Drosophila melanogaster: one gene and its partners. The protein of the gene in region 1 interacts with the protein of each later gene in a pairwise test. Each region holds a gene or a part of one and is shown in the gene's direction. Other genes may lie near its edges. The genes, in order: Nnf1b, CG13476, aln and CG32655.

What was found.
Region 2: the proteins of Nnf1b (region 1) and CG13476 interact in a two-hybrid assay, tested with the Drosophila melanogaster proteins (one large-scale study listed by BioGRID).
Region 3: the proteins of Nnf1b (region 1) and aln interact in a two-hybrid assay, tested with the Drosophila melanogaster proteins (one large-scale study listed by BioGRID).
Region 4: the proteins of Nnf1b (region 1) and CG32655 interact in a two-hybrid assay, tested with the Drosophila melanogaster proteins (one large-scale study listed by BioGRID).

What each region holds. Positions count from the first base shown.
Region 1 is NT_033779.5:806,940-815,216, forward strand, and holds Nnf1b (Nnf1b), read left to right. Parts: upstream 1-3,637; 5' UTR 3,638-3,706; coding exon 3,707-3,819; intron 3,820-3,869; coding exon 3,870-4,082; intron 4,083-4,149; coding exon 4,150-4,264; intron 4,265-4,319; coding exon 4,320-4,493; 3' UTR 4,494-4,592; downstream 4,593-8,277. Other genes in the region: Dbp21E2 (DEAD box protein 21E2), read left to right, coding at 4,697-5,557, 5,623-6,372; Saf6 (SAGA factor-like TAF6), read right to left, coding at 6,518-6,954, 7,012-7,245, 7,304-8,277.
Region 2 is NT_037436.4:14,703,948-14,706,657, forward strand, and holds CG13476 (uncharacterized protein), read left to right. Parts: upstream 1-1,516; 5' UTR 1,517-1,596; coding exon 1,597-2,046; 3' UTR 2,047-2,210; downstream 2,211-2,710.
Region 3 is NT_037436.4:990,136-999,141, forward strand, and holds aln (allnighter), read left to right. Parts: upstream 1-3,847; 5' UTR 3,848-3,925; coding exon 3,926-4,075; intron 4,076-4,141; coding exon 4,142-4,294; intron 4,295-4,367; coding exon 4,368-4,505; intron 4,506-4,572; coding exon 4,573-4,781; intron 4,782-4,840; coding exon 4,841-5,414; 3' UTR 5,415-5,568; downstream 5,569-9,006. Other genes in the region: trio, read right to left, coding at 7,950-8,156, 8,216-8,596, 8,689-8,878, 8,944-9,006.
Region 4 is NC_004354.4:12,231,368-12,240,264, reverse strand, and holds CG32655 (uncharacterized protein), read left to right. Parts: upstream 1-4,387; 5' UTR 4,388-4,535; coding exon 4,536-5,073; intron 5,074-5,139; coding exon 5,140-5,594; 3' UTR 5,595-5,703; downstream 5,704-8,897.

The sequences.
Region 1 (8,277 bases):
GGAATCCAAGTTAACTGCATTACCAGGCGGAGAAGGAGGAGGAGGAGGAGCCACAAGTTGATTTTCAGCGAGAAGAGTATAAACACAGCAAGCAAATATCCGCACCTTAAATGGATACGTATTGTATCTTATTGATTGAACAAGTTCCAATACCCAGCTGGCCTATGAAGATAGATCTTGCTATTGATCATAAGTGCAGTATGCCACGCAACAAGCTACCCATTTTTCTCTCAGTGCAGGCAGGGTGAGTTGAGAGCCAGATGTCGTTGCTTGCCACTCACTTGTCGCCTGTCATCCGTCAGTCCCGAGTCCTGAGTCCTGAGACCTGAGACCTCCATGTCGTCGGTCGCTGGAAGTCGTGTGCCAAATGACCAATTTCAATTAGAGATGCGGAGCCAGAACATCGGAGCTTACAAGAAAGCACGCAGCACCCACACGCAAAATTCAAGTGTCCTTGGAAAGCTACACGGAGAACTACTTGCACTCCCATCAACTCGCCAATAATAATAAATAAGCAGATAATACTGTTCATAAACACATCTGCAGATAGAGTTGAAAGCCATTTGTTTGAATTGAAAGTTTGGCTAAGAAGTAATTGCTGCAACTTTATGTGGCAAACCTTCGATTTTTTTTCGCAGTGCAACCACACACTCAGCAATCTGCTGGCTGTTTAAATATGAGCAACAGATTAAAACTTAATTTAAAGTTGACCCAGCCGGGTTTCGTGTTTCCACTTCAAGTTTAATTAATATGTTAAGCCCGTAAAAGCCGCTTCGGTAAACTAACCCCACCAGCCGGTTGTTGCTCCGGTGTTTGTTTTTTGTTCGGCCCATTCCCGAAAAGGAAATCAACCCCCCCCCCTCTCCCACCGAGAGCTTAGGCAAACAAAAGGTTTGCGAATCGCATTCCATGGAAGATGAGGCGTCTCCAACGATATGAAGGACTTACATGTGTAGCTGGAACTCGGTTTGCATACCAATTGTCTGACGCTACTTTCGACCATTGTACTTGCGTTTCATTAGTGTTAATCCGCAAAATCGGTAGGACTACGGCTGCCATATCCAGATATGTGCAGATACATATACACAGCCTTGTATATGGCGGCAGCTGTGGTTTCATGCATTGTTCTAATGCGTGCTTAAAGCGCATTTCCAGCACGCATGAGTGCCCACAGTTGCGGTCACATGAATAGTGGTCGGCTCCTAACCATCGATTTGCGCGACAGCTTGTTAGTTCAGAAACTATTAAAAGTCGCTTAACTCAGGCAAATTCTGCACAATTGATCTACATATGTGTGTCAAGCACACGTAGGCGACCTCCACTGTGGATTTGCATGCGAATGCAGCTCCCAAATTCACGAACAAAGCACAAAGCACCACTCGACAAATGCGCTGTAATTCGAGGCGACAAGTATGCAGCGAAAATTTTAAATGCATTTCACGCACTGCGGCTGACGCACCGCTCCCCCAGCCCCACACCCCCTCCCACCACTGGTATTTTCCCAGTGGTTCTCCATTCCTGTCACGCCCGCAAGTGTCGCCAAGCGACGGCTGCCGCTGCCAGCCAGGACCCACTGTTGCACACAGGACGAACAGATCAGAGCCAAGCCAACATATCCGCTTCTCATCGATATTTAAATAGCGCATAATCAAGGTGATGATAACACTATCAGCAAATGGTTATAACACACTGATGTTCTTAAACTAAGAAAACAACAATGTACGTTTAGAAGCCTAAAAGGATAAGTGTTTCTTTCAGTGCAGATGGCGTTGACTTGATTGGAATTTGACCAGAATTTCGCCCACTGGCAAAATGGAGCATCAATTAGAGCCAAGTGATTTATCCAATTTGTAGCAGGAGAAACCCTTGACAGGACGACACGAGACTTTCTGATTAGTAAAATAAAACTCGAATAACTTTTTAGCAATCTGACGTCAAAGGATCAGACACGAACGCTCGGAATTGAATATCCAAAAGTTTCTTCTTTCCTCGAGATACAGCTGAACTTTGCTCAAGAACTGATTGCTTTATGTTATATGGAAACTCAGAGGAATAACTTTCTCAAAGGGTTTCTAGGTAAGTGATATGAGTTTATTAAGAAGAAGTATTTTTTCAGAACTTAACATTTTCACTAATTAAAGAGAAGACTTTCGGGGAAAGCATATTCTCTCTTTTGAGCAGGACAAGCGCAAACAGTGTGAGAAATGCATAGTTATTTGGATTGGTATAATTCAGAATTCAGAATTCAGAAAAGTATGCAAAACTTTGTCTCAGAATTTAGGCTCATTTGCATACCAGTCGCACCACAAAAAGTCAACATCTCCAAGTTTTTCACACCATGTGCACGAGAATAAGAATATTAAAATCGCATCTTGCTTGAGGTGTTCGCTTTATAAAGCCATTACCAACTATCCGAAGGACGAAGGCGGGTGGATCCTGGGCGGTGGTTCCTGAACAGTCCGCATGTGTCGGCCGGCATTTTAACACTTTAATCATTGAAATGCAAATTCGGAGCCGAGTTTTAGCAAGACATGCGGCAGAGTGGCACATGCATGTTAACACGGCCACCGACTGGCACGCCTCCTGATTCTGCTTCTGTTCCTGGAGGGGACAGCTCAGGATTCTGGCCGGGATTTAGCATATCTGAGATCCGGGCCACACAAAGAGAAAATGTGTATCGAAACGGAGAAGATGCTAGTGGGTTTTTCAAATCTCACTTAATGGTGCCTGAAAGTATGCACCAAGTTTTGAAAAACATGTATGTCCCATGGGTAACAATGTTTTCCGGGTAACAATTTCGAACTTTCCACCTTTTCATTTTTGTGGCATTTATGGGTCGTTATAAGATTGATGTCGAAATGATTTTTCCTGTGCAGGGGAGAGCACATTTCGAATTCTGCCTACTCCACAGCTGAGTTCCTTTTCGGACCCGGAAAATAATGGAAATGCCGGACCCGGCGAGCGAATAAATTAACCTGGATCGCATTTATATTCGAAAGTAGTGGCTCGGTGATGCTTAAACCTGAGTTTGCCGCAGAATGCTTCCTTTATTGCACGTAAATAAAGTCATAAAGTCATCATTACAACCGCGCCAACGAGGAGCACACGATAAGGAGCACAAAGGACAAACTTTTGTGACTGCGATAAAAATTCGCAAATGCGCACAAATTACTCAAAACATATTAAAAACTGCGTCCCCGCCTCAACAATTTGCCCAAAACGTTGCACAAATTAAAAACCCTCTCGAAAGAGCGGAGATAAAAGGAAATTCCATTGTGGCAAGTTTTCCCGATGTGGCAAACTGCAGTGAAAGCACAACTTTCGGGGAAACTGAAAAGTGCAGTTATTGAGTGTTAGTTGCAAGTTCCTTCGCCGATGCGACATGTGAAAAGTTGTGTAATTCAGTTCGAGAAATACACTCTGAATGTGGCGTAAAAAATGAGTTCAATGTTATATTGAGTGTTTTCGAAGTAATGCCAACTTACCAGATTTGATGCTTGAATTTAACCAATTAGCCAATAACCGTTGTTTAAAATAATTTATACAATATATATGTTATCATAATTGAAAGCAGCTCGAATACCCTATACCTACAATCATGTCATATAGGGGTTGGTATTCACAACCTATCTGTAAATGGTCACATATGTTTTCGGTCGCCAAGTTTTGCTTGTAATTATTATTTTGCCAGAATTGTGTTAAAAGTATGAATAATATTGAAGAGGACACCGAAGCAGCCTTCAAACGGCTCCAGGCTGTCATTCCACAGGTGAAGCAGGCCTACGAGGAAGCCATTGGACAGATCTTCTCGGATTTAAAGTAGGAGAATGGCTGATTAAAAGATTGACCAAACGCTTACTATTGCTTAGCTCCTCAGATCTTGAGTCGTGTGCCTCCATCCTCGAGGAGCACGAATCCACGAGCCTGGACACCGAGCAAATAATCCACAGCACCCGTCGGCTTATGACCAAGATCGTCCTGGATGTGAACCAGTGCTTCTTCTCCGGCAACGACGTGGAGACCAAGCTGACCACGCTGGAAATGCTTAAGGAGCAGTTTGCCGCCCACGAGGGCAAGAACTGGTTAGTGAATGGTTTTGAATTTGGTTGTCCAGCAGCACTTTCCATGGTTTTTAACGTAAATCCGCAGGAACTTCAACTGTCTGTCCCCTGAGGAACTTACTCGCCCTCTGCGCATGCACAACTTGAATCTAAGCATCACATTCATGGAGCAACAGCTTAAGAAACAGGAAAAGGAACTCGAGGTATGTATTTCAACCTCCGAAGAATTAAGTAATACTTGGATTACTTCGATTTTAGATTGCTATGGCCAAAAGCATTAAAAATCGACAGCTTATACATGATGTCCACGCTGAACGGGTGAAAGTGGGATGTATGATGAAGCAGCAGTTGGCCGAGTACCAGGCCATTAAGCCACAGTTAATGGAAATGGAACGGCTAATAAATGATTCGTATGTGCAGGAAGAAATGTAATTTTATAAAAAAAAACAGATTATTATTATTATTATTATTATTATTATTATTATTATATTAGTTGCTGGGTCTTGAAATAAATATGAATTTCAAACTTACCGCCACAAGTGGCATTGAATTCGAGCGGCGCTTTCCAACACTTCGATGCGTGTGCACAGCTGACTTGCCGGCAAATGAAAAACATTGAATAATATTCCGAAAGCATGCTGAACTTGTCCGTGGTGCTCCGGGTGCAATCATCGCGCCATGTGGCTTCATATGCCACAGCGGCGGCGGCGGCAGTTAAGACGAAGCCACCAAAGGCAAAGTCCAAGGGCAAAAAGCAGAAGGGGGAGCCCCTAATCTCCTGCAGAAGAAGCCAGTTCGATTTAACCCAATACGAGCAGACGGATGCCAAGTTTGGGAGTCTTTCGCTGGCCTCCAAGGGCTGGCTGCACAACAAATCCAAGGGAGACTTCTTCATCCTGAACGCCAGCGTGCGAGGTGAGGAACTCCAGCAGGAAATGCAGACCGTCGATGAGTTCCTCGAGAGCACGGGGATGCAGATTCATCCGCAACTCCTTGAGAACTTGCGAGTCGAGCTGGGCATCAAATTACTGACGGGAATCCAAAAACAGGGAATGCCCGTTGTCCATGGAAATGAGCACTGCCTCATTGCCGCTGAAACTGGGTGTGGAAAAACAATTACATATCTCCTGCCTATCGTAGACAAACTCCTCCAGAAAGAAGTGGTCACCGAACGAAAACTCAACACCCCCCGTGTCTTGATCCTCACTCCCGGCAGAGAACTAGCCACGCAGATTGCTGGGGTCACGGAGAAGCTCACCCAGGGCACCAATCTCAAAGTGCAATCTTTACTTGGCGGCAATACCAAGCAGCTTATGATGAACCCACAGTTCGAGGAGGTGGACATACTGGTCGCCACTCTGGGTGCACTTAGCAAACTGGTGACCACTGGCATCTACCGCATGGAGCAGGTTCGTCATCTGGTTCTAGACGAAGCGGACACCCTCCTAGATGATACGTTCACAGACAAACTTTCCTACTTCCTCAGGAGATTTCCCGTAAGTCATTCTAGGCGATTACCAAAGGAATGGCTTCAATCAGCTTGTTTTTTCTTATTCGACAGTTCCACTTGGTGCAAAAGGAGGATGCTGGCACCCAGATGATCCTGGCCTCGGCCACCATGCCCACGAACACCAGAGAGATCCTTCACAAAGTCATAGACGTGGACACCATCCGTGAGGTCGTCAGTCCGCACCTGCACCGACTGATGTCTCATGTGACGCAGAAGTTCCTGCGGCTGTCGAAGGCCGATCGGCCCGCCACACTTCTGTCACTCGTGAAGCATGATCTTGCCAAACGTCGCCCTCTTATCGTGTTCAGCAACAAGTCCACCACCAGTGACTTCGTTTCCATCTTCCTGAACAACAGCGGAGTGAACTGCTTAAATCTGAATGGGGATATGCTGATGAAGATCCGTCTTGGCCGCTTCGAGCAGTTCCAAAACGGTCACTGCGACGTCCTTTCCACCACCGATGTGGGAAGTCGTGGCCTGGATACCACACGAGCTCGACATGTGGTCAACTTTGACTTTCCGCTCCACGTCTCCGATTATATCCATCGTTGTGGCAGGATCGGTCGGGTGGGCAACATGGACAAGGCGCTAGTCACGAACCTGATATCATCGCGCCGCGAAATCGACGTCGTCCAGCGAATTGAGCACGCAGCTCGAACAGGTGGACTTCTGCCGGATGTGAATGCCAACATCCGAAACATTATCAACAAGCGGATTGTGGCGGAGATGAAAGCTGCAGGAATGCCCGTGCCCGCTTTGGGCTCACTAAATGGACATACGCCTCAGGAAGAAGCCTTTTAGTTCTGTGTTTTTATGTATTACGAGTAAAGTTGTATCACCTTTCGGAAGACCGAAGAGGAAGTCTAAAGTAAACGAAGAGTTTTATTGAGATCCCCAGGTCCTCCTGGACCTCCAGAAGGTCTTATAATACTTTCCCAAGTCCCTTTCAGATCCTTAGGTAGTGATAGCCACTGATGGGCGACCACTTTCTCACGTTGGTCAGGGGCTTAAAGAGTTTTCGTTTGGCGATCAGGATGTCGGAGCTGGCACCGCCACCCCCACCACCGTTCGCTGCCGACGAAGGCGAGTCTTCGGAGTGGGGAACAGTCGCAACCTTCGGCTTCAGCAGCACCGGGCGGCATCCTGCAAACTTAAAGCGGATGTTGCCCGCGCAGTTGAGCTGAAGATTTGGTGACTGAAGGTCGGGGAAAGCCTCGCAGAGCGTAGGCTTCGGTTTGAGTGCCTTGCTAGGATCGTCTCCGTGGCACATGGCTGCCGCAAGAGTACTCCATTCCAACCGACGCACTCCCGGCACTGATTCTATTCTGTAAGCGGGTTGTTTGGCCTTCACATACCGTCTGGTTACCATCTTTTCGTAGGCTCCTGCAATGATTTTTAGTTACTTAACCGCTTTTCATGGAACACATGGGTGTTTCTTACGCGCATAGTGGACCAAGAAGGGCTGCAGAGCAGCACCGCATCCGTACTCCAGCCATTCATACAGGTATACGTCATCATGACCGCCAAGGAAGATGGCAGCCGGAGCCAGATCCGGCCACAGGCTATCCGGGATTTCCTCGACGCGCAGTTTGTAGATGTAGGGAATAAACTCACGAAAGGCATATTCTCCCAGGGCAATGAGACCGCGCACTGCTCTACTGATATACCTAAAGTCTTAATTAAGAAATCCAAAGATAAGGATCCAGGCTAACAAATTGTAAGGATGATTTACCTCTCTCACTGCTGACGTGGCGACCTTCGAAGAATCTCGCTAGGCGTCTCTTGATCAAAAACAGGCACTCTGCATGTAGGTAACCACTTTGAGATGCCAGCTGTCCTATAGTTTCACACAGCTCGTCCACCAGGCCATTGCCGACTGGACAGGCAAAGTAGCTGGATAGGTGTTCCGCCTCCGGCTGAGGATTCAATTCCTCCTCCTCCGATTGCAGCTTGTAGATTGTGTGTTCCATGGTGCTCTCACCCGGAAACATCTGGGGTTCTTGCTCCTGTTTCTCTACTCCCATGACCTCCGGATTTTCCTGGGTTTCCGGATTATGGCACTGGTCTGGCTCAACCTTTAGTTCTTCTTCAAACTCCATTTTGATGGAGGTGGTTTGTCCCGGATCTGGGTCGACGTGTGGAGCTTTGATAGTTTCGTAAGGTGCCATTAGCTGGCTGACCAGTACCTCGGCCAGGTTGAAGTACTCCGGCCGGCAGGCATTGTGATTAGCAGTGGCGTTGTAGTTGCATGCTCGGAGCAGTCGCCAGCATCGCTGGCTCAAATGGTCCTGCTGCTTAAAGGCTAGCAACTGGACCATCTTACTCACAATCACTCGGTAGATAGATCCCATCAGGGGTGTCTGAAAAGCATGGCAGACGGCGGCCGTCTGGGATTTGCTGTCCGCAAAAAGGGCTGCCGTCACAAGACTCTGGACACACTGTCTTAGTTGGTCCATGTGCTTATCCTCCACTGGGCAGATGCTCTGAAAGTCTGCATCATCAGGTGTGCACAGATTGACTTCCTTCTGAAACTCCGCGCTCAGCTCGAAGATCTTATCCGAGTGAAAGTAAAAACTGCCGTCATAGTCGATCCGGTCCCAGTCGCTGTCCATCGCACCCAGCATAGGCGGCACATCGGCATCTTTTAGCACTTCGTTCACCAGGTCGTATGTCACCACTCCGCCCGAGTGGCGCGAGTATATTTTG
Region 2 (2,710 bases), on another chromosome or scaffold:
AATATATATAAAAGAAAAAAAATAAATAAATAAGGTACATTTTGAACTTCACTATAAACAAAAGTCAACACGTCCTTAGTCTCTTAAATATGAATTCGACTTTAAAATCGAATAGTATTTGCAATCCACATCAGAAATAAAGTTCTCTTAATTCAGACTAACAAAAAAGATTGATGTTCTTATATATGCATTCACATAAGTTCGACATGGAAGAAAAAATAATCGGAAAATTGCCAAAGCTTCTTCCTTTTCAAAAAGTGTTCTGCATTTGTGTGGGTATAAACGTGTCCTTGTGAGTGTCTGCACTCATGCATAGAAATAAGCCGATAAAACCCTGACAATTGTGTCATGGAGTAGCGTTTTAGTTTTGGGATTGGACTTAATGCCTCTTGACTTCAATTTGCATAGTCGGCTTAGCAACGTTCGTGCAATGATTGAATGACAAATTGATAGAATTCGGCATTTACCAGTTGACAGCTAAGGAAGAGCTTTTTCCGGTCGGAGGAAACGGAAGAAAAGTTAAACCGATGATGGAGATTTCAGTTCAAATTCTGTTTGAGCATGATTTAATTATCGTGCCGGTTAAAAAGGACTTTTCATTTGCCTACAACAATGTTCACAACGAGTTGCGCCTTTTTAATTATAAAAATCAAAATTCATGAAAAGCTCTTAGAATATAGAGATATGATCTTTTAGTGTTTAAATCTCTTGAATGCGAGTATAACATAATATATATATAAATAGGCTTTTCATCATCACATATAGATGATTTAATCCTTCTTCTCCAACAAAATTTTAAGCCATTCCCAACAAAGTTGTTAAATTGTTAACAAAGCGAACATTTTCACTCAAAAAACGCCCCTATCGCATTGACTCTGACCTAGACCGCAAGCCGTTTAGATCCCGCAGGACTTCCCATTAATCCAATTAGGGCTGAACATATTTGCTTCTCATTAAAAATGAAATCCTTTGCTTTGGACCGGAATCAAGAGCTTTGACCAATTACCAAGCGTTTTTTCATTTACGTTCGCACATTCGAAATAAAAAATTAACCAGGAAGGTCGCAGATAAAGGCATTGACAGAGCAGCTTAGAAATCTCTTTGTCAGCAACTTAAATGAAAATTAAGACATCTGCTTTCATTTAGCTTAAGTGCTTATCTTGCGAAGGACGCAAAGGCAAAGGACACGTTTGCCCACAGGACAATCAATTATGAATGCAACACCGAGCACCATCAGCTTGGCAAAATAGTCTGTAATAAAAGTTAGGTTCATGAGGAGTGCGATGCTTTTGGGCGGCTAATGATGATAATTATATGTTTTAAGTGACATTGATTTGTCGCCTTCAGGATGGGCCGGGAAATTCCCATGATGTTTAATTCATTAGCCAGCTAATCGGCTTACTCTGATAATTAATATAATTGATGTCAGTCATCTTATTGTAGCGCCACCCAAGCAGGCTACTCATTCCCAGTTGCCTCTGTGTCATTTCTATGGATCTAAAATAGGTTTCCCAGTACTATTGACGCCCTGAAAGTAATCAGATATTCACACATAAAATAAATTCAAATAAAATCTGTATATTTTGTACGCTCACAATGAACATGAGGGGAATGGCCAAGCGTTCTATTTGGCTGCAATGTCTTCGGGAAAATGCCACCAATATGCGCCTGGAGCACGAGGATCTGGGACGTCGCATTGCTGTTTCTTTGGCCAGTTCCCAGAAAGCTCTAGTTGATATCGAAAACTTGAATCAAGAGCTGTTAAAAATGAAGGACACAATCCATAATGCCATTTCCAATGTTATGGGCTACGAAAAGAAGTGTTGTGAATTGCTCCTGGAAATTTTGATTAAAATAGTTGAGAACAACGACCTGGATGCCGAACTAAATCCCAAAATGATCTCCAAGGCGTTTCTCGACTTGGATCCGAGTTCCGACGAGACAGAAGTTCTGAATGACCGTAGTCTTGCAGCGTCTGATTTTAATCAGCAATATCCAAAAGATGTGCCGGATTCTATTGATATAAACATAACAGAAGACCAGTAACCATTTTAAATAGGATCCAAGACCGCACCAATTCGATTACTAACGTCTTAATTTAATGCGTTGTCAATTCCACCTCACACATTTAAAAGGAATAATAAGGTGGTCAGGGCTACAAATGTTTTATATTTTTTATCGATTCAATTAAATTTGCATGGTGAAATGACAAAACCCATTGTCTCTTTCTTCAGTTTATAGTTGTGGGAAAGTTTCTAAGACGTTCGAAATGTTAAAACCCTTGAAACGAAAAAACTTAGGATGACCATAAAAATACAAAATTATGAACAGAAAGAAAAGAGAAAAGCACGCCAACATCCGCACAAATTGTCCTGCAGAAAAGTCAAGACAAAATCACGTATACGCACTGTGACAACCCACAGCCTGGGTTAAAGACAATCCCAACTGGTAATCCAAGTCGTGTGCGTAGCCAGCATCCATGTTCCTAAACAATTTGTCGGCGATTTGTCGGCAAACTTGAGCCATATACGCCACACATACGCACCGAGTGAGCCATATTGCACATACGCCCCGTGTGACCCACAGAGGAATACAAAGAGTAACGAGGTTAAGTGACCCAACCAGCAAAACAACCTGTTGACTCAGGCTCTCTGCTCTCTCACTCAAAGCAAACTCACTCATCGGTGGGTTTGTTTTGCTCCGCTCTTTC
Region 3 (9,006 bases), on another chromosome or scaffold:
GGGCGATGCCACAGCCAGTGACATTCTGAACAACTCCAAAAACTATCCCTTCCAGCCCTCGAACGCCCTAGAGTTTCAGTACAAGAACAATTTCCAGCAGGGTCAAGCGAACGCCAATAACAATAATACCAACACCACAAACACAGCGTCCAGCGATGCTGCCGAGTGTTTCCAAAACTACAGGGCCATCTCGAAGGAGACGAACCTGAACCAGACTTCAACGGAACAGCTCTCGCCCACAAACATCAATTTGTCAACGAGCTCGAACAACATAAACATCGTGTTCAGCAGCAGCTTGGAACGGAATGCCAACGAGGTCAAGTTTATCAATAACAGAAGTGGTGCAAGCGGTGGTTCCGAGATGGGCTGTGAGGTGGGTCACCATGCGGGCTATTTGCCCTACACCTATCCCAGCTACGATTACACGAACATGTCGGGAAACTCGCATTTCGAGAAGCCCCTGGGCATAGACGAGCTACCCAAGGAGTTTTGCGGATTGGAGGGCGCTGGAGGCGGTGGCGCCTCCACCACCAGTGAGCACTCCTCGTCGCTGCCATCGCCGCAACCACTGACGCACCACCAGCAGCTGCACCACTTCGAGTCCTTCGATGCCGCCTCCGAACACAATTTGCTAGCTGCCCAACCTATGTCGCCGGGCTCCCCGCTGTCGGGGTCCGTGAACCCTGCTGGCGATGACTTTGTCCAGATGCACCACTATCATCACGCCAACTCACCGCACTCACAATCGCACCACAGCCACGCCCACACGCACACCCACGGCCACCACGTGCACCACCTGCTAAACCACCCCGCCTACGATCTGACCGACGATCAGTTCCGGTTGGGATCGGCTTTGAAGCGAGTGCGCAAGCGAGCACGCAAGTACACCGACTTCCTGCGCAAGAAGTGAGCGATTCCGCGGACTCACTGCATCCTGAATCCTGCATCCTCCCCTAGATTCACCCTACTTCGGCCGCAAATACCTGGTGGTCTCGAAGCGACGATCGCAGAGCCTGGACGAAGACTAATCATGTGGCGACTGGACAAGCAATAGCCGAGGAAGCAGCGGTGTTGTTCGGCCGATCGAGAACCATAATTACATTTAATTACAATTTTTACACTGCCAAAAAGTTAAGTAAATTAAAGTTAATTTTTGCTAAGCCAAAACTCTGTTTAAAGCGAGGATCACACAGATCAGACACGAGCACTACGGAAAGGGTGGATTTACGAGGGTGGTAAAATTCGGGTTCTTGAAGTTATATAGGTTATTGTCCGTACAATCTTGGAGAACTTGTATATAGTTTTACCTTCCAGAAATTCACTCGCCCTAATGCACAAACAAGCCACACACACGAATCACATCAGCTGCAAACACAAGAGGAAGATGAACAACGACTATTTTAAATAATGAAAGGAAGTACTTAAGCTAACAGTGCGTATACATAATAAATACAAGCGGTATCAGAGGCGGGCATTTGTATATTCAACTTAAACATAAGCGAAGGTTTTGAATTTGCATATTTAAATTGACTAAACCCATATACATAGTTAAGAGCCAAGGCAAATGGAAATAATAATGCACACCTACTCAAGCCTAGAAGATAGACAACCAATCTAAACATACCAGTTAAAGCTAGCTATAAGGATGCGATCAGATGGATCAGATGGATCAGATCGGAGCAGCGCCACAAGATTTAGAGTTTCAGCAACCGCAACTGCAAACGCAAGTGCAACTAAATAATGAAATTAACCATTAATTAACAAACAAAACAAGCAAGACAAGAACAGCAACTGTAGTTTGGCACACTAAGGACAACAAGTTAAATGTTATAAAAACGAGTGTTAAGATTACACGAAAAAGTGAGAGTTTTGTTAGCATTTATTTGATATGCGCGTATTTTCAGGGACTGCTTGCGATTTTTGTAATAAAGCAATAAGCCGTTTTGCTCAAGGATTAAATACGTTTTCGTTTCACCCAGAGCCCCACAATTCTTTTGATTTTTTCTGCATTTCCGCATAATTCCTTTCAAGTGTATTATCCCCCAACAACTGTCTTCCAATTATACTTTCTAGTCGTATCTCTCGTCGTAGCCTCAGTTGCTCCCAAAAATAAATGTAAACTAAGCACTCCAACTTATTTTAATGGCCGTTGAATCAGACGTACCTTGCGTGAGAACAAAGAAAACCGAGAAAATTGTAAATAACTGCTGTTGATTAATTACTAACCTAATTTACGAGTAACAACTAAATGAACTTAATTTGTAGTCTTTAGCCGTGGCGAATCATTATGAATTAGTGAACCGAAAATAATAAATATAAATGCACTGCCAAAAACAAAGGTTTTAAGTAAAAGAACAACAAGAACAAGATCCTCTGGGAGACTCAAACGAAAAAGAAAAAAAAACACTAAAGGATCAAGTTCACAAAACCAAATCGAAAATGAAAACTGCTGTAAATATAAGAATGAATACATATAGAGAAATCATAGACATTTTTTAAAGGCACATTAATTAAAGAGGAGCATGCAATTTGCAGATTTTTTACATTATTTTAATGAACTAAGGAAAACAATAATGAGTTAAACGGAGCTACGAAACCGAAAAACCAACAAAAAATTAAAACGCCACGCGGCCGTGCGATTTTGTAACAAAATCAAAAGACAGAATGTTAACATTGCGTAAAGTTAAATCAAGTATAAAAATCGAAAACGAATAAAAAAAACAGGCACCTCAAAATGGCGTAAAAGGTGCGTGAACTCGGCACCGGAAACGGAAACTGACTGGTCTTAAGTTGTGTGCACCATTCGAACTGTAAATAACAGATTCTGATCTGCCGAAACAATTAGCCCTAGAATGCAACCCGAAAATCCCCAAAACAACGGACCGAGTTAAAGACATTATCCGCTAATAGGAAAACCACTACTATGGGAGAGGCACTACTAAAACCGAGGCAAATCCCTTTAAAGTTCACGTAGCAAGGACACAAACTTACCAGTTAGCCCAAAAACCCTCGAATCGATGAGATTTCGAGCCACGATAATCACACACAAAACCGAACAGAAGTTAAAGCCAGCGGCAAGAATTAGTAAGATGCCGATTGAAAATATAGCTGAATTAACACAATTAACAATGGCATTATACCCTAGCGACTTTTTTTTACCTGTTTGTACTTTAGTTTGTGGTTCGGATATGTTCTAGCATTTGTCATAGCCACTTATAGTTGTGTACATAACTAGTTAAAATTGTGCATACAGAACGGTTATCTTAAGTATATAAATACACGCAACGGTGAATATTAGCAAGACCCTGAAGAAACACTCAAACTATACAGACTTGCCAGCCAGATTCGCATTCCGACACACTGAGAATATTCGGAGGTGGAAGTGGGAGTAACGCGGAATAATAATTACATTATTAATATACAACAATAAACTTGAACCTAGGTATATGATTCTGAATTTAAATAATTTTTAGTAAGGCAGAGCAAAGAAACGAGAAGCAAATGCAAAACGGAAACTCTAAACACTTGAATGAAATTAAAAGACAACTTATTAAAAATACAAATAAAAATTGATGAATTAAGTAAAGTAAATTGCTCAATTTAGCTGAGAGTATAAATAAAGAATTATACGTTAAGTAATAATTTCAAAATACAAACCAGTCTTGTTCTTGGGCCAGGGTAAAAATGTGGCTGAAAGGAAATCATTTTCATGACAATTTCGGGTGGAGAACACTTTTAAGAAATAAAGGATACATTGGCAGCACTGATTGCGATATACATCGATAAAAAGGATTCGAGTGCGCACTGCGCATGTCAAGGATGTGTCAGATTTGGTTGACAGTTCTGGACTTTAAGGGTATATACCCGTACCTTCGATGGGGTGTGTAAGCAAGCTGGTTAAAAATGGAAATCTCTGGCTTTTAAAATGTTGACCGCCCTGCGTCGGAAAATTCGGTTCGGAATGCAGCGCACGGTTTTAATTGCGGTCCTGCTGGCGGTGGGCATTTTCAGCTACGCCTTTCTCAACCTCAAGTTCTGCTTCAAGTTGATGTCCCATCGGAGCCTCAACTTGATGGTAAGCTATTTCCCCTTTCCTTCACTGCAATATATGCATTTCTCAATATAATCTTGTATGGAATAGTGCCAGAAATTCGAAAAACATGAGTACAGCGGCTCTCTGTGTGAGGAACTCTGTGGTTCCCAATCTTCCTTCGACAACTTTCAGTGTCCGCTGAATGATATGAAAACTATCCTCTTTACGGCCGAAAAGAACGGCGACTTGTATGCGGTGAAGGTAGGTCGCGTTTTCCTGGTTCTCACGCTCTGGTTGCCAAGACTACGACTTTTCCATTTTTCCACTCACTTAGCTGGCCCGGCACAACGATGACGAGCTGAGCTGGACGAACAACAAGGGGGAGTCGATATACCCCAAGCTCGAGGAGTTCCACGAGATCGTGAAGCTGCACATCATTCTGGCGTACAATGTCACCCTGGATGATAATATGGTGAATAGACACGAGATTAGATTGTGCTCAGAAAATAAAGTATCTGGCTTTCATGTGAAAATTTCAGATCCGCGCTCTGGTCAACCAGGAAATAGCCGATGATAACTCGCAGCAGATGGTCAGTTTTTGGCGGCTCTTCAAGGACAACAACTACATGATGGGCAAACTTTTCGACGAGGAATCCATCTTTCCGGCTGTGCTGGGCTCCTGTGGACCCTACTACGCCACTGAGGGACTGGAGATTGTGCAGTCCAACCCCAGCATAATGCAGTATCTGTGGGTTCTTAGTTCTAACGAAAATATGATCGGAACTTATGTATCTTTTAACTGTATAGGGCCTCCAATCGCGTGCAGCGGCTGAAGCATGCTCTCAATATTATGGAGTACATTTTCCGACTGGACGAAATGAAGCCGGAGCCGCTGAAGATGTGCAAGATGCAGGTGAATCGCTTCGGAACCGCCTCTGAGCGAAGACTGAAGTACCAGAGTGCCGAGCACGTCTATGTGGAGAGCCAGCTGGACAAGCGATTGTCCAGGGGCGTCAAGTGCCACGCCCACCAGGACTGCCACTTCCACTCCTGCCGAGGATTGTGTGACGAGGAGAAGCAATCCTGCACGCACATTCAGCAGAACAACAACTTCCAGATTTTCTGCGAGCACATCCTACTGGGCGGAGGCACATTTCAGCCCGGCCTCCTCAGCGGAGTGCGCCTCTCCAAGGCGCTCCAGAAGCTGGTCAAGATGTGCGTCCAGCCGCCCAAGGAGCATCAAGTGCCAGGACGCCAGTGGGCACCCAACACGCAGCTCGCCCTGAGGCTCTACAACGAGCTGAAGCAACTGCATCAGGCTGCAACAGCATCCGCAGGATCCGTGATTCCCGACGAGGGACAGGCACGTCGGGGAGTCTAAAACATTCGGGGATTGGTACGGAAGTCGGAGAAGCTCGGAAGCAGCGGACGGTAGATCAATTGGCGTACAGCTGGCTCAAAACTGATAGCATTTTTATAAGTAGACTTAATTAATTACAAGTAAATAAAACAAAAATGCTTTTTTTGACTACAACAAAACAAATCTTATTGCCTCTTTAAATTAATTACCAATCTAATTTAAATTGGATAAATCAAGAAGCCACTGCAAAAACAAAATGTAGTTTTTTGGACAATTGAAATTCCCGCCATTCTTCTTCTTGGTTACCTAACATTCACCATTCTTCTCTAGAACTGTAGGGTTCCCAACCATTTCAACATAGGCGCCAAATTTAAATTCTGTTTAACGGTCGTGGTTTTTAAAATCAAGTACCATTAAACGGAATTTAAACAATGAGAATAATAAAAAACATTTCCGTTGAGTATGTTAAGTTTATTCAGCTACTTTTGCTTTGTTATTATTCACTTTGAAAAATTTAAATTCAGATTACATGCTTTGTTGGTTACATACAATTTGCATAGTGGTTTCTGGATATAATTATATTTATTTGCAGCCTGCGCCCGGGCCAAAAGTTTATCTCGCCAGGCTTTTCCGGGCATTTTCCGAGGGAAAGCTGATGCTTACTTGACTAAAACACAGATTAACACGTTTACTTTATGCTGTTCGCATTGCACTGACGCACATGATGTCGCAGTTGTAATTAATATATTTATAGTTAGTCAGAGTAATTAGATAAACTAAAACACACACTTTAATTACCACAATTATCTAGAATTTCGACAGGGCTTAAGTACAACAATTAGTTAATCGGTAAGTGCCATTAATACAATCGAAAAGAATTTAGTATGTTACATGTTACGGTCGATCGGTTGTGAGTTGAGTAGAGCTCCCTCCACGAGTAAAGTGCAAAAATGTAGAAAATGTTGTGGCTATTGGGTTCCCCTCACTGTGCGTTTGCTTGTCATCTGATCATCGGATCATTTGATCCATCGATCCTTCGATCCTTCGACCTACGATCCTACCATCCGATCCGATCCGTCGTCGCGACTTTAACATTTAATTACGAATAATGCCGGAGGTTCGTTTCACAAATGTTGTAAAAAAATACATTTCATGTTTGCTTCCTACATTTAGCTTTGCTAAATCATTATTGTTTTCCTCGCATTGATATATGCATCTGGCATTTATATTCATGCTCCAGACTGTAACCGGCGTCTCGGTGTGTGTGTGTGGGTGCTTCTAAGAGACAAAATCGGATTGAAAGCATTGGATGGACAACCGCTTAGTAACTTCGTCTCGTGTTCTATACATATAATCGTTTAATCAAATCCTGGTCCTGTTTGAGTAATTTGTTTGCAAGAGACACATGCATTTGAGTGACTCTGACTTATCCTCGTATGCTACACTGTACATTGGCCCAACTGGCTCCTGCTTACCAACTAACATAAACGCACAGACACCAAAACGAGAAATATGCTTCGAAAATCGTCTCGGATACAGTTTAGATTGGCTTAAGTGCTATCATCTGGGTGTTCGGGCTTCAAACTTGACTGCTTAGCCTATAAGTGTTGTGGACTTTTTTGTGAACAAAACAACCGAAAATGGGGCAAAGAATACGAAAACCAAAAAATAATAATTACATCCGAGCAGGCATTATGTTTATTTCGGGCATAGTTTAAAATTAGAATAATTAAAAACTTATTGTTTCTGGTTTTGATTACGTTTAAAGCTTACATATTTTATTTGTAAATTATAAAGTACAAATAAGCTTTGCATTGCATTCATAAACTAAAGTTAAGCTTAAATTATTTCACGAAGTTGTCACACTCGAACGAGTGCCATTACACAAATCTCTGCTTTAGTTTTGCAAAGCAAATCCAGTAACTCAAGTATAAACTATGATTAACATTTAGCAGTTTAACTAAAACTATGTACCAAACTAAGGCTAGAATAGTTATACTCTTACTCTCTGCGTTCAATGCGAATAAAACGAGTACGAAACGAAAACGAAATGTAAATTGCTTTTGATTCTGAGTAGTTCTCGGCTGCGGATCGTTAGTAAATCAGACTCGGAAAAGTAAAACTAAGAGCAAAGGAGTCTAAATAAGTTAAAAATGCACACAATGTCAAAGGTAATCTTGAGCATATAATACTTTGCGTTTCATACACACAAATCCGGAATAGAAAACAAAAACTATACGAACAGAAAGGCGGCCCAACTAAAATCTAAAGGTGGACTGAACGGAAACGCAATTGATGACGAATAAATAAATTACAATTACAAGTTACATACAAATTAGGATTGAGTATGCGAGTGTTTCTGGGTGTGAGTGAGCAAAACTATCCGTAAACAAACGCACAGACGGAAAAACAAGTGCGAGGCTAATGCTCACTTCGGTGGCGGAACACCTTTGCCCAAAACACATTTGAATATCATTTTCTCATACTTTCGTTTGTTGTTCTTGCTTGCCTTTAAGCTTCCTGCCTTATCATTTGGAATTCTTTCGCCAACGGCGTTCATTTGTTTTTGGTTGACAGGGGATTGGAGAGCATGAAGATCAGGTCGTTCTGCTGCTGCAGTATCTTGTTTAGCATATCGCGCCACCCCGCGTAGTTCTCCTGCGACGCCGCCTGGCAGATGATCGTCATCTCTGGGATCTTGGGGTCAGTCGACCTTATTTGAAAGCGGCAGTCGCCCAGTTCCTTCATTTGCATGTGATTGAGCTGACGGTGGTAATCGGTTATTGTTAACCCATTCGAAAATTCTATGTTATCCCTCTCACCTGTATGTGCGATCTGTATTTGAATATGGGACTGGCATACTGGTTCTTGGTCTTCTCAATATCCGCAAAGATGATGATCTGCTGGAAGAGGAACACCTGAAGCTCGCGGTGCTTCTGTGCCGCATCCACCACGCAGTTCATGGGTCCCTGCATCAACAGGCTGCCTTGGGCGGTTATCTCCCCATCGAAGTCCTGCAAGCTGCGCAGCACCACCATCATATCGTTGACCGTCTTGACGACGACCTTCATCTGTTGGTAGGCCTCCTGCAGCATGGGCACCTCCTTGTAAAGCCCGGCTCCCTCGGTGGCCTTGATGATCTCCTTGATGAGTAGCTCGTATTTAGTGATTCGCTGCACCGGCTTGATGATCAAGTTACTCAGCTGCGGATTAGAAAAGCGGGAATAAATAAGTTACAGATTTCACAAAGTGTATGTATTCCAATTACGAGTATGATTAGACAATTTTGACTTACATCCAGACGATGTCCCAGCTTCTGACGTATGCTATCGAAATACTGATAATGGGCACTGACTATGTATTCGGACAGCGGTTTGTTGCTGCAATAGGTGTAGTACAGAGCGAACTTGGTGGCTGACCGCTTGATGAGCGGACCCAGGTCCGCCGGCGATTTTTGGCAGTTGCGCAGGGCTCTCAGGAAGAAGCTGGAAGTAACACGAGTTTGTTGAATAAGTTGCCTACTTTAGATGGAAGGGTTCTCTATACTCACTCCCTGTGCCACTCGTAGATGTCTTTAATATTGTTGAAGACCAACTTCATTTTACCACCCTTC
Region 4 (8,897 bases), on another chromosome or scaffold:
AGAACCAGGAACAAAAAAAAAAAATATATATATATATATACGATGATCGGAGGGGCGAGGCAACCAAGTCGCGGCTCTTGGGCGCCTTGGCTTTTGTGGTCAGTCAGTTTTGGCCGTCTGTGATGGTCGTAAAAATACCCAAGAGATGTCGAAGGCATGTTGCAAAATTTCAAGCTCAAGTCGAAATGGCAGCCAAAGTCTGTTCCACACTCACACGTAGTGCAAAAAACTAAAGGAGCACACACACAGACACAGAAAAGTTGCCTGTTTGGATTTCAAATGGTCAAAATGTGGACATTTGCTTAAAGAAGAAGAAAAAAAATCTTCGTATCTGCAAGATACTTCTTTTATGTCCCTCCCTTTCTCACCACCCTACCCATCTCTTTCGCACGAAACAAGTCTGCTGAAGAAGAGCTTGTTTTCGCATTTTTATGTCCATTGCAAAATGCGGTTTGGCCCATTCAAGGAGCTTACATAATGCCCTACCCACTGAGATTCTTGTAGTTTAGTTTAGTTTTCAGCTAATTAAAATATTGAAATAATACTTTTATCTGCATTTGGTTTTATGCACTGCATTAGTAGTGTAATTTTGTTTTAAAGAAACATTTTATTATATGAAAAACAAACTAAATACACTTATATATGCATTTGCTTATTATTACCCCTGTGTACTTTATCCATAAGTAGCGCCCTTTGGCAGTCGACCCAGTTGAGTGCCCTGGAAAATAAGTTGGTCTACAAGCTGTGGGGCCAATCTTAAGCTCCACAACTCGGGACCTCTCGGCTGCACTCGTCGTCTCTGTTTTATCCAATCCCTCTATCACTTGCACGCACTCACACAAAATTCTTCCTTTTATTTTTTTTTTCCCACTTTTTTTCTCCCTTTTTCTTTTTATTTTTTTTTTTAAATAAAAGTTTGCGTTTTAGCTTTAGCCAGATTTATGTTTTCCTGCTTGCGTTTGCAGAATTGTTGTCGGAAGTTTTTTGTGCAGCATCATGGCACTCACACACACACACACACACAGAAAGTTCTCAAAAAGACGTAAAAAAAAAGATGGAAATAAAACAAGAAGGGAAAAATGAAGTAAGGAAAAGCCGGGCTCCAGTGGCAGCTGGAAAATGGAAAATGGGTTGGGGCTGGGCGAAGTAAGGCGACCGCAAAATATGCTCAGTAGCATTGATGCGCCTTTTGACCCGGCCTCTGACTTTGACACTGAAACCGAAACCGAAACTGAAACTGAAAAAGAAACAGTCAACATAAAACTAAGAAGAAAGGGCTTTTCCCTGTGACTTGGCATTAGTCGAGCAGGAGTGCGTCTTATTAGCAGTTACGTATAGGGCTTACACAGCGAGAAAATGCGTGTGCTGAGGCAATATATCTATATTCAATCTAATCATTAGAATGAATTTTACTACTGCCTCTTGACTCTTCAAAGTGTATAAAAGGGAGAACTACTTGCCCCCTTAATTAAACATAAAATAACATTGTTGCCAATTATGAGAAAGCACATGTAATAGAATTTATAAAAATGTACAACCATCCATTCCACTTCTCACTTTCAAGTGACCCAATTCTATGGGTCATGTTTATTCTGCAAGTGTGCGAAACGGTAACCTTTTCCGGCAAAAAGAACGCTCGAGGCCAGGACCATCATTTCACTTTCACTTGTCCAATTAGCTGTCGAGAATGTACTGGCAATCGGATGTTTAGTACTCCAGATGTCATGTAGTTCGTTTGGTTTTCCACCTCCACCTCCACCTCCGTCGATTCGGATTTGCTTTCATTTGTTCTGGCCATCACACCTGGCCTCCGGGGAAGTCCCAATGAAATCGAATCGAATACACTGAATTGGACATCATTAGCAGGGGGCGTGGGTCGTCGTGGGTGGGCTGGTATAGGATGGGGGTCGTGCCATAAGGGGCAGTAGGTTAAGGAGTTCACCTTGTGAAAGTTACCCCTGGAGGCAGGTGAAATGACCAAAGGAATGGGCAATTCGTTGGGCGAAGATGAAGATTCTACCTCTTCATCTTTCAGTTGGACTGTACGACTGTAATTGAGATGGGTGCAAAGAACGAATGGCAGAGAAGTGGTCCTTCTCGTCCTTTGGCTCCATTCGGTCCTTGAGTCCTCCAGTCGAGTGGACCCAAACAACAAGATGTCATATCATCGGAATGGCAGTCTCATTACGAGACTTTGTTCATCGCCTTTTTGTTCGTTTCCCTTTTCGTTGTGTCTTTTGAGCCGGCATTAATCAAAGGTCTTAGGGTTAATGTTTCGCCAACCGACGTGGTGGGGATATCAAAAACGATTGTGCTCATAATTATAGCGCTGGGAATAGGAGATGATCCAACTGCCTCAGGGGCAACTTCAAATGCAAATGCGGTGATTACGCTTTTGTCAATATTATGTCTGGTATATTTCTCGATTAAAATTTGTCTATCCACTTGATTTATTTCCCATCAAGAGGTTGTCCGATTTCTGTGCTATTTTCTTGACCATTACTGTAAGAGTAGTAGTGTATACAGTATTTATTTACCACACACACACACACACACTAAACTAAGCGGCTGTTAATGACGCAATTTCCGCAAACGCAAACGGAGGCCTTTGGCAACCTTTGAGGGTCAGTTGCTTTGGCCAACTTCTTGGTGTTGTTGGCCAAAGCTAATTAGCTTAGCGCGTTTAAATCGCTCGAGCATCGCTCATTTCTAAGGCATCTCTCTATATACTGCTTTATATAAACGGATATGTAACCCCGGAGAAATGGCTGTCGATAAATAAAATAAAAGGCGGGGAGGAGTGCCTCGTACAAGCCACAAAATACGAAAACAACAACTGGGATAACCCTTTTTTTTCCAACAGACAATTCCAAGCCATTACACTGAGAAATGTGACACAATTTGAATAACATTTAAAATATAAAATTGAGCATCAATTCGGTTTGGATTCCGGCTTTTTTCATCCTTGTCTTTATTTTGCTGATGGTTTTTGGACATACCAACCCAACTCCTTGAAGTGATGGATTTGCTGCCTGAAGAGAACATTTTCTTGGGCCTTTTCTTTCCATTCCCCATTTTTCCGGGCCGTCTCTTCGTTGTTGTTGTTTGTTTGTTTTATTTTTTGTTCCCCCGCCACGACTTTCTGTTCTTTTTCGTTTTTACTTTGTCTAAATTGCGTAAATTATTGGCATATGTTGTCTTCGAAGTCCTGTCGAGAGAGGCAATGAAACATTTTTAACCCTTTTCCTTGGAAATTGACAGGGGCGTAGGTTGGTGTGCGCTGCGAAAATGTCGATGTCGGCCTGGTATTTTTTATTCCATTTTGCCGTCTTTCTCTGGGATTCTCGGGTGCTCTCCCTAGTTTTTGATATCCCCCATAACCCCACATTTTGGGGCGCCTCTGTCTGGCTGCCAGTTGGCTGTCATTTATTCCCACTTCGGGTTCAGTTTCGGCTTCCACCAATTTTCTCCGGCTCCTCTCTCCCACTTTCTTTCTGTTTTTTTTTTTTTTTTATCATTTATGGCCGTCGTTCTTTGGCTTTTTATGTGCGCTATTTCGCGATGTAGAACAATAGCCGCCCGCCAGCTCATTCAACCCACTGCCAAAGTCGTGGATCCAGGATCCCAGGATCCTGAGTCCGGAATCCTACTGTTCCTGCTCCAGCTCCAACTTCATCTTCGTGTGCTTTTGTTACAGCAAAACGGGCAGGGTGAGCCACTACTGTCCTTCACTATCGCTCGTTGCGCCCTCGCGCTACTTTATTGTCTTGCCAAAAGAAATAGACTTTTAATATACTTGGCCATTCAGAGCACAAAACATGGAGCGAAGCTCCCAGGGAAAACTCCTTTTTCCCTCCTCAAAAAAAAAAGCAAAAAAAAACTGCCAGCAAACACACGGAAAATAGAGGAAAAAAGGACAAGTGTCTGGGAGTGTGGAAATATTAGGCGATTTTGCCAGTTCATTGACTTGCCACAACAATAGTTTGAAGTTTGTCTGCCAAAATATGAGATTCCGAATAAAATGGAACCAATCCCGGGATGGGGGATTCGAAGGCGAGCGACGGAAAACAGAAGCTAAAAAGTTTTTCACTTTAATAGTTCGACCAATTTGAGAGTGGCTAAAAGGCCAGGATAATGGCAGCACAGGGAGTGCAAATAAAATCGTACTCCGATTTATTTGTACTTTTTGTTGGGCGCAATTTCTGACTTGATCAATTTGAAACTTGGCCATTTTATAGCCATCATTTCGGATCAAAATAAAGCCATGTTAAATCTATTTTTTTTTTTTTTTTCAATATCTAAAACATGTTGGCCTTGATTTTAGTTGACTAGATTTCGAACATCCATCAGTTGATTATCTCAGTTTAAACACGACACAGTAACTGTGCACTACACAATAGAACAAAATTCCAAAATATTGTTGTTTCAGGTCTAGGAAATTCAAAATTTTTTTTTTGTTTTTGATAGAGCGACTGAGGATTCCCTACTCTAAGACAATTCCCAAGAGAACCTCAAGCTCAAATCTCAAATAAAATATGGCCGAGAAGAAATCCCAGGACAATAAGGATAATGTCAGTGGATCCCAGAATCGAACGAGCCGCGTGGAAGCCCATGTTCGCCAGCAAGAAGAGAATAATGCTATATTTGCTCGACTTTTTGCCAGTTTGGACGCTGAACATCGTAAATTGAAAGAACTTGAAGAGCGCAGATCGCAGCTAATTGAAGAAATGAAAAATTTGAGGTCTCTACTCTTTGTTGAGAATAAAAAACTTCGACAGACCGTTGCTCCCATTTCGGGTGGAAATCCATTACCAATTCCAGCTACCAGTGCTAGTTCCGTCGTGAAAAAGAGTTCGGAGAAACCTTCTGGCTCTAGGACCTCTCCCATTATCAAGTCAGCACGTTTGGAACGACGACCTTCCAATAAATCGGTTACAATTGCCGATCCACCAACACAAAGTTTAACGACTAGCGAAAGACCCAAGGCAAGTAGTTCACAAGGTTTAAAGAAAAAGGAAAATCGACGAAGTCTCGTTGTTCCAGCAAGGAAAAATAAACATAGAATAACTTTGGGTAATAAGCGGTTTCAGCTATTTCACATTCTAATTTAATCCAATCAAAACGGTATTAAATTTCTAGATAACTTATCAAATACCAGAGAGGACATGTTAGACGAGTTCGATGAATCCGCATTGGCAACTTCTGTGGGCTCCAATTTGCAGACTTTGGAGCAGCGAAGATCCAATTTAGAGGAACGAGAAGATATAGACGAAGTTTTGGTCTCGCTGTCAGCATTATTCACCTTTGTGGATTCTCAATTTACAGACCAGGCCATTTTACCAAGTACACCTGATACCGATGATTCCAAAACTGACGAAGTGATTCCCAATACCGATCAAGATCCAAGTTTTTATCTCCCAAGTGCCGATTCTTTGTTCAAGGACATACTGGGACCGAATTCGCCATCCTTAGAGGTGAAATTGCCAGAAGAATCACTTCAATTGCAACCAGCTGACATTGTCGAATGTTCAGCGAATGTGGCGGAAATCGTTGAAAATGAACACGAAACGGAAACGGAAACGGAAACTGATTAAAAGCCCCCTTTAAGGGTTTTTAAGACTAATCTAATGGTTAATTAAACTTGGAAGTGCAGCTATTTACTAGATCTGGCAACAATATTAAACAAATACACACATTGAAGCCAACTAGCCAGCCTTTTCATTGGGGGATCCACTGAAAGGCTTTTAGAAAACTCTGTTTAAAAATCCTATAGTTTTAAACTTTGAATAGCTGAATGGCTCACCGCATGACTACTTAGTTTTTCAGGGATCAAAGGCAAACAATTTTCCTGTTGATGCTATCAAAAATGTGGCAACATATTTACGTACAAGTGGAGGGCCTATTATTTTTGGGGTGGAAGAAAATCTGCACATGCTCATGGCATATTCGGTCGACTTTTCTCAGCATATCTTGTGCTTTATTTTTTGTTCGTTTTTTTTTTTGTTTCTTATTCAATTTGCCGACCCTTGGTCCCCTGTCTCAAATTGAAGTCCTGGGGGTCGAGGACACTCTCCACATCCATTTCAAAACAAATTAGTTGCCAACTGTCCGAAACAAATGTTGTCTAACGAGCAAAATCGAGTTGTCTCCCATTGCTATAAGAATACACATGAACTAGGTAGGTATACCATATACACATAAATATATATAATACAATATATATTTGGTATATATGTATGTACGGACATGTCCACTTCTTGGGAGTTTTGTGCGACTTGTTTGTCCAACGAAATGATATGAAAAGCTCGGCATTTCAATCATAATGTTCATCACGATTTTTTCCTCTTTTCCTTTGGGGTGGCATAGAGATGATGGTGGGGACTTATTGATTGGACTGGGTCAAGAGGTTATGTTTTGTGTGTGCGATTTTTGCTAGTGAAATGCACTTGAAGTGCAAAACTAAACTTGCAAGTCAAACCTGAAGCTAAAAAAAAAAAGAAAAGAAATAAATAAAAAAAAAAATGGAAAACTCGAGAACTGAAAACTGAACTAAGGCAAACCGAAAACTAAACAAGTTTCTGGCTACCGAAAAACCACCTGACCCATACGAGCACACACAAATTACTTATGTGCGGATGGTGGGTGGTTCGTTCAGTGGGTGGTTACACATTTCATTTTTTTTTTCTTTCTTTTTTTTTGGTTACTGTTGTTGTTTGTTTTCAAGTAGGTCATTAGAGAGGCCTTCGCCCTTCGCCCAGCCACTTGAATTATTAAATTCCCCCGGCATTTCGAAGTTCTGCAGTTGAGCCAAGCGAAACGAGGCGCTTTTCCTGCCCTCGCTCCTCAAATATGCACATTTTTCTATACATATACACCCATCCATTCGTCCATCCATCCATCCATCCATATATACATTTATACATATATAGTAGGTCCTATTCGCATTCGTAATCGTATTCCAGGTTTGCCAGACTGTTTCCATAACTTACCTAAAAGTGGCGAAAAAAAAAGAGAGAAACAGAAATATTTATTGTAATTTTTCTGTTTTCAATTCGCAGCAGCAGCTTAAATATGGGCTACTTTGACATTCAAGGGGACATAATAAATCAGCAAGAGAAAAAATGCAATATTTTTAAAACATATAGGTCAGGCATGAAAATGTATATACATTTTAGATCCTCTTCTTACTTTTGTTTTGCTTGCAAAAAGCTTGAGCATAGATTTGTCACCCGCAAAGGTAACTTTTAACCAATTCCCAATTCCAGTGCGATTTTCTATGCTCCTAGTGCTATGGAATTTAGTATTTAACTATTTAAGTTGAAGTGAATTCTAGAGCACACTCTACGGTTGTGGTCCCGCGTTCGGCTGGCAGTCCCATAAAAAGTAATTGGAATTTTCATTTAATATAAAAGCTGAGCGAACAACACAGGCAGCGGAACACAATCTAACCCACTTGGCAGCTTGCAATCGCACAGCAACCAAAAACTATGCATATAAACGGGGGCCACTGATGTTAGGATCTACACCCCCTCCCTTCCCCTTTGGGAAACCCTCTCGAAATATCCATCTCTACCATTTTGAACTGGAAAAAGGATACAATGTAGCCAGTGGAGCATCCTCATACTCATGGATATGTGTATCCCCGTGCAGGCTCGGCTCGTTGCTCATAAAACTCACTCAAGTAAAAGTACGAATGGTTTTCGATATGAAATGCATGAAACTAACAGGCAAACATATTGCGCCGCATTGCCGAAACCCGCCCACGGCCACGCCCACACGACCCAAACGCCCACACGCCCATATTTCCAACCCACTACACCGGGGGATAAAATCATATAAGCATCTTATTTATTTTCACTCATTTAGTTTGCATCCAAATATTTCTATTTTTTTTTTTTTTTGTTTAAATCTCTGGCATACGGATTTTTTCAATTTTTATGTTTACTTAGTGCTCAAAGTTGGCTCGATTTTAATATAAAATCGTGAAAGCAGTTTCAATCAATATAAAAAAATGAAAACAAAATTAAAAAACAATATGTAATCGTTGAGCAGTTATCAGTGCTTAAAAGTTTGATTTTAAAGTTGAATTTTTTTAGAAATGTTAATGCCAATTGAAATTATTTTTACAAAGTAACAAAACATATTTTTTTGTTGTACTGTTAAGTAATTAATAAGCAATTCCTTAACAGGTGGTCCATTTTTTTTTTTTACAGTGCAGCCAGCCCCTTGTATCAGTTGGCTGACTGTTGGTTACCACTTGGCCGTTGTTGCTCCTCATCCACATCCACATCCACATTCTCATCCACATCCATATCCTCAAGCTGAACCTCCATCTCGTCCTCGTAAGCTCTTCCATCTGTGTGCCCTCGTTACCGCCCCTTCACCCCTCCGGTCATTGTTGTGGGCTGTGTATGTATGTATATACGAATTTATATATATATACATATACATATGCATATATATATATATTGTATCCCAGTGCGAACTCCGCACCTCTCGCCTGTCTATTTATTCAGATATGAAAATGCATATTGTACACTCGACTCACGCCGCTCTATATGGGACATTTCTTTATCATTCGCTCTTCGCCTCCATCTGCATACACACACAGATATATTTTATCCTTTTTTCAATATGCAACTCTGTGGCATGCGAGTGTGTGTGTGTGTGTGGGGAAAACGGACCGAAAAAAAGGATATATGGATGGGTACAAAATATAGGAGCTACTCATCGAGGCGTGCGTTTATTGCAATTGTGTTCCAGTTTCTTGCGTTTGAATTGGAGATGATTGCGCCGACGAATGGAGTCTCACACAAAAAAAAAAATGAAAAATGAAAAAAATGAAATGAAAACAAAGCAACACCTTCGGGTGACACGGCAATAAAGGAACTGTTCTT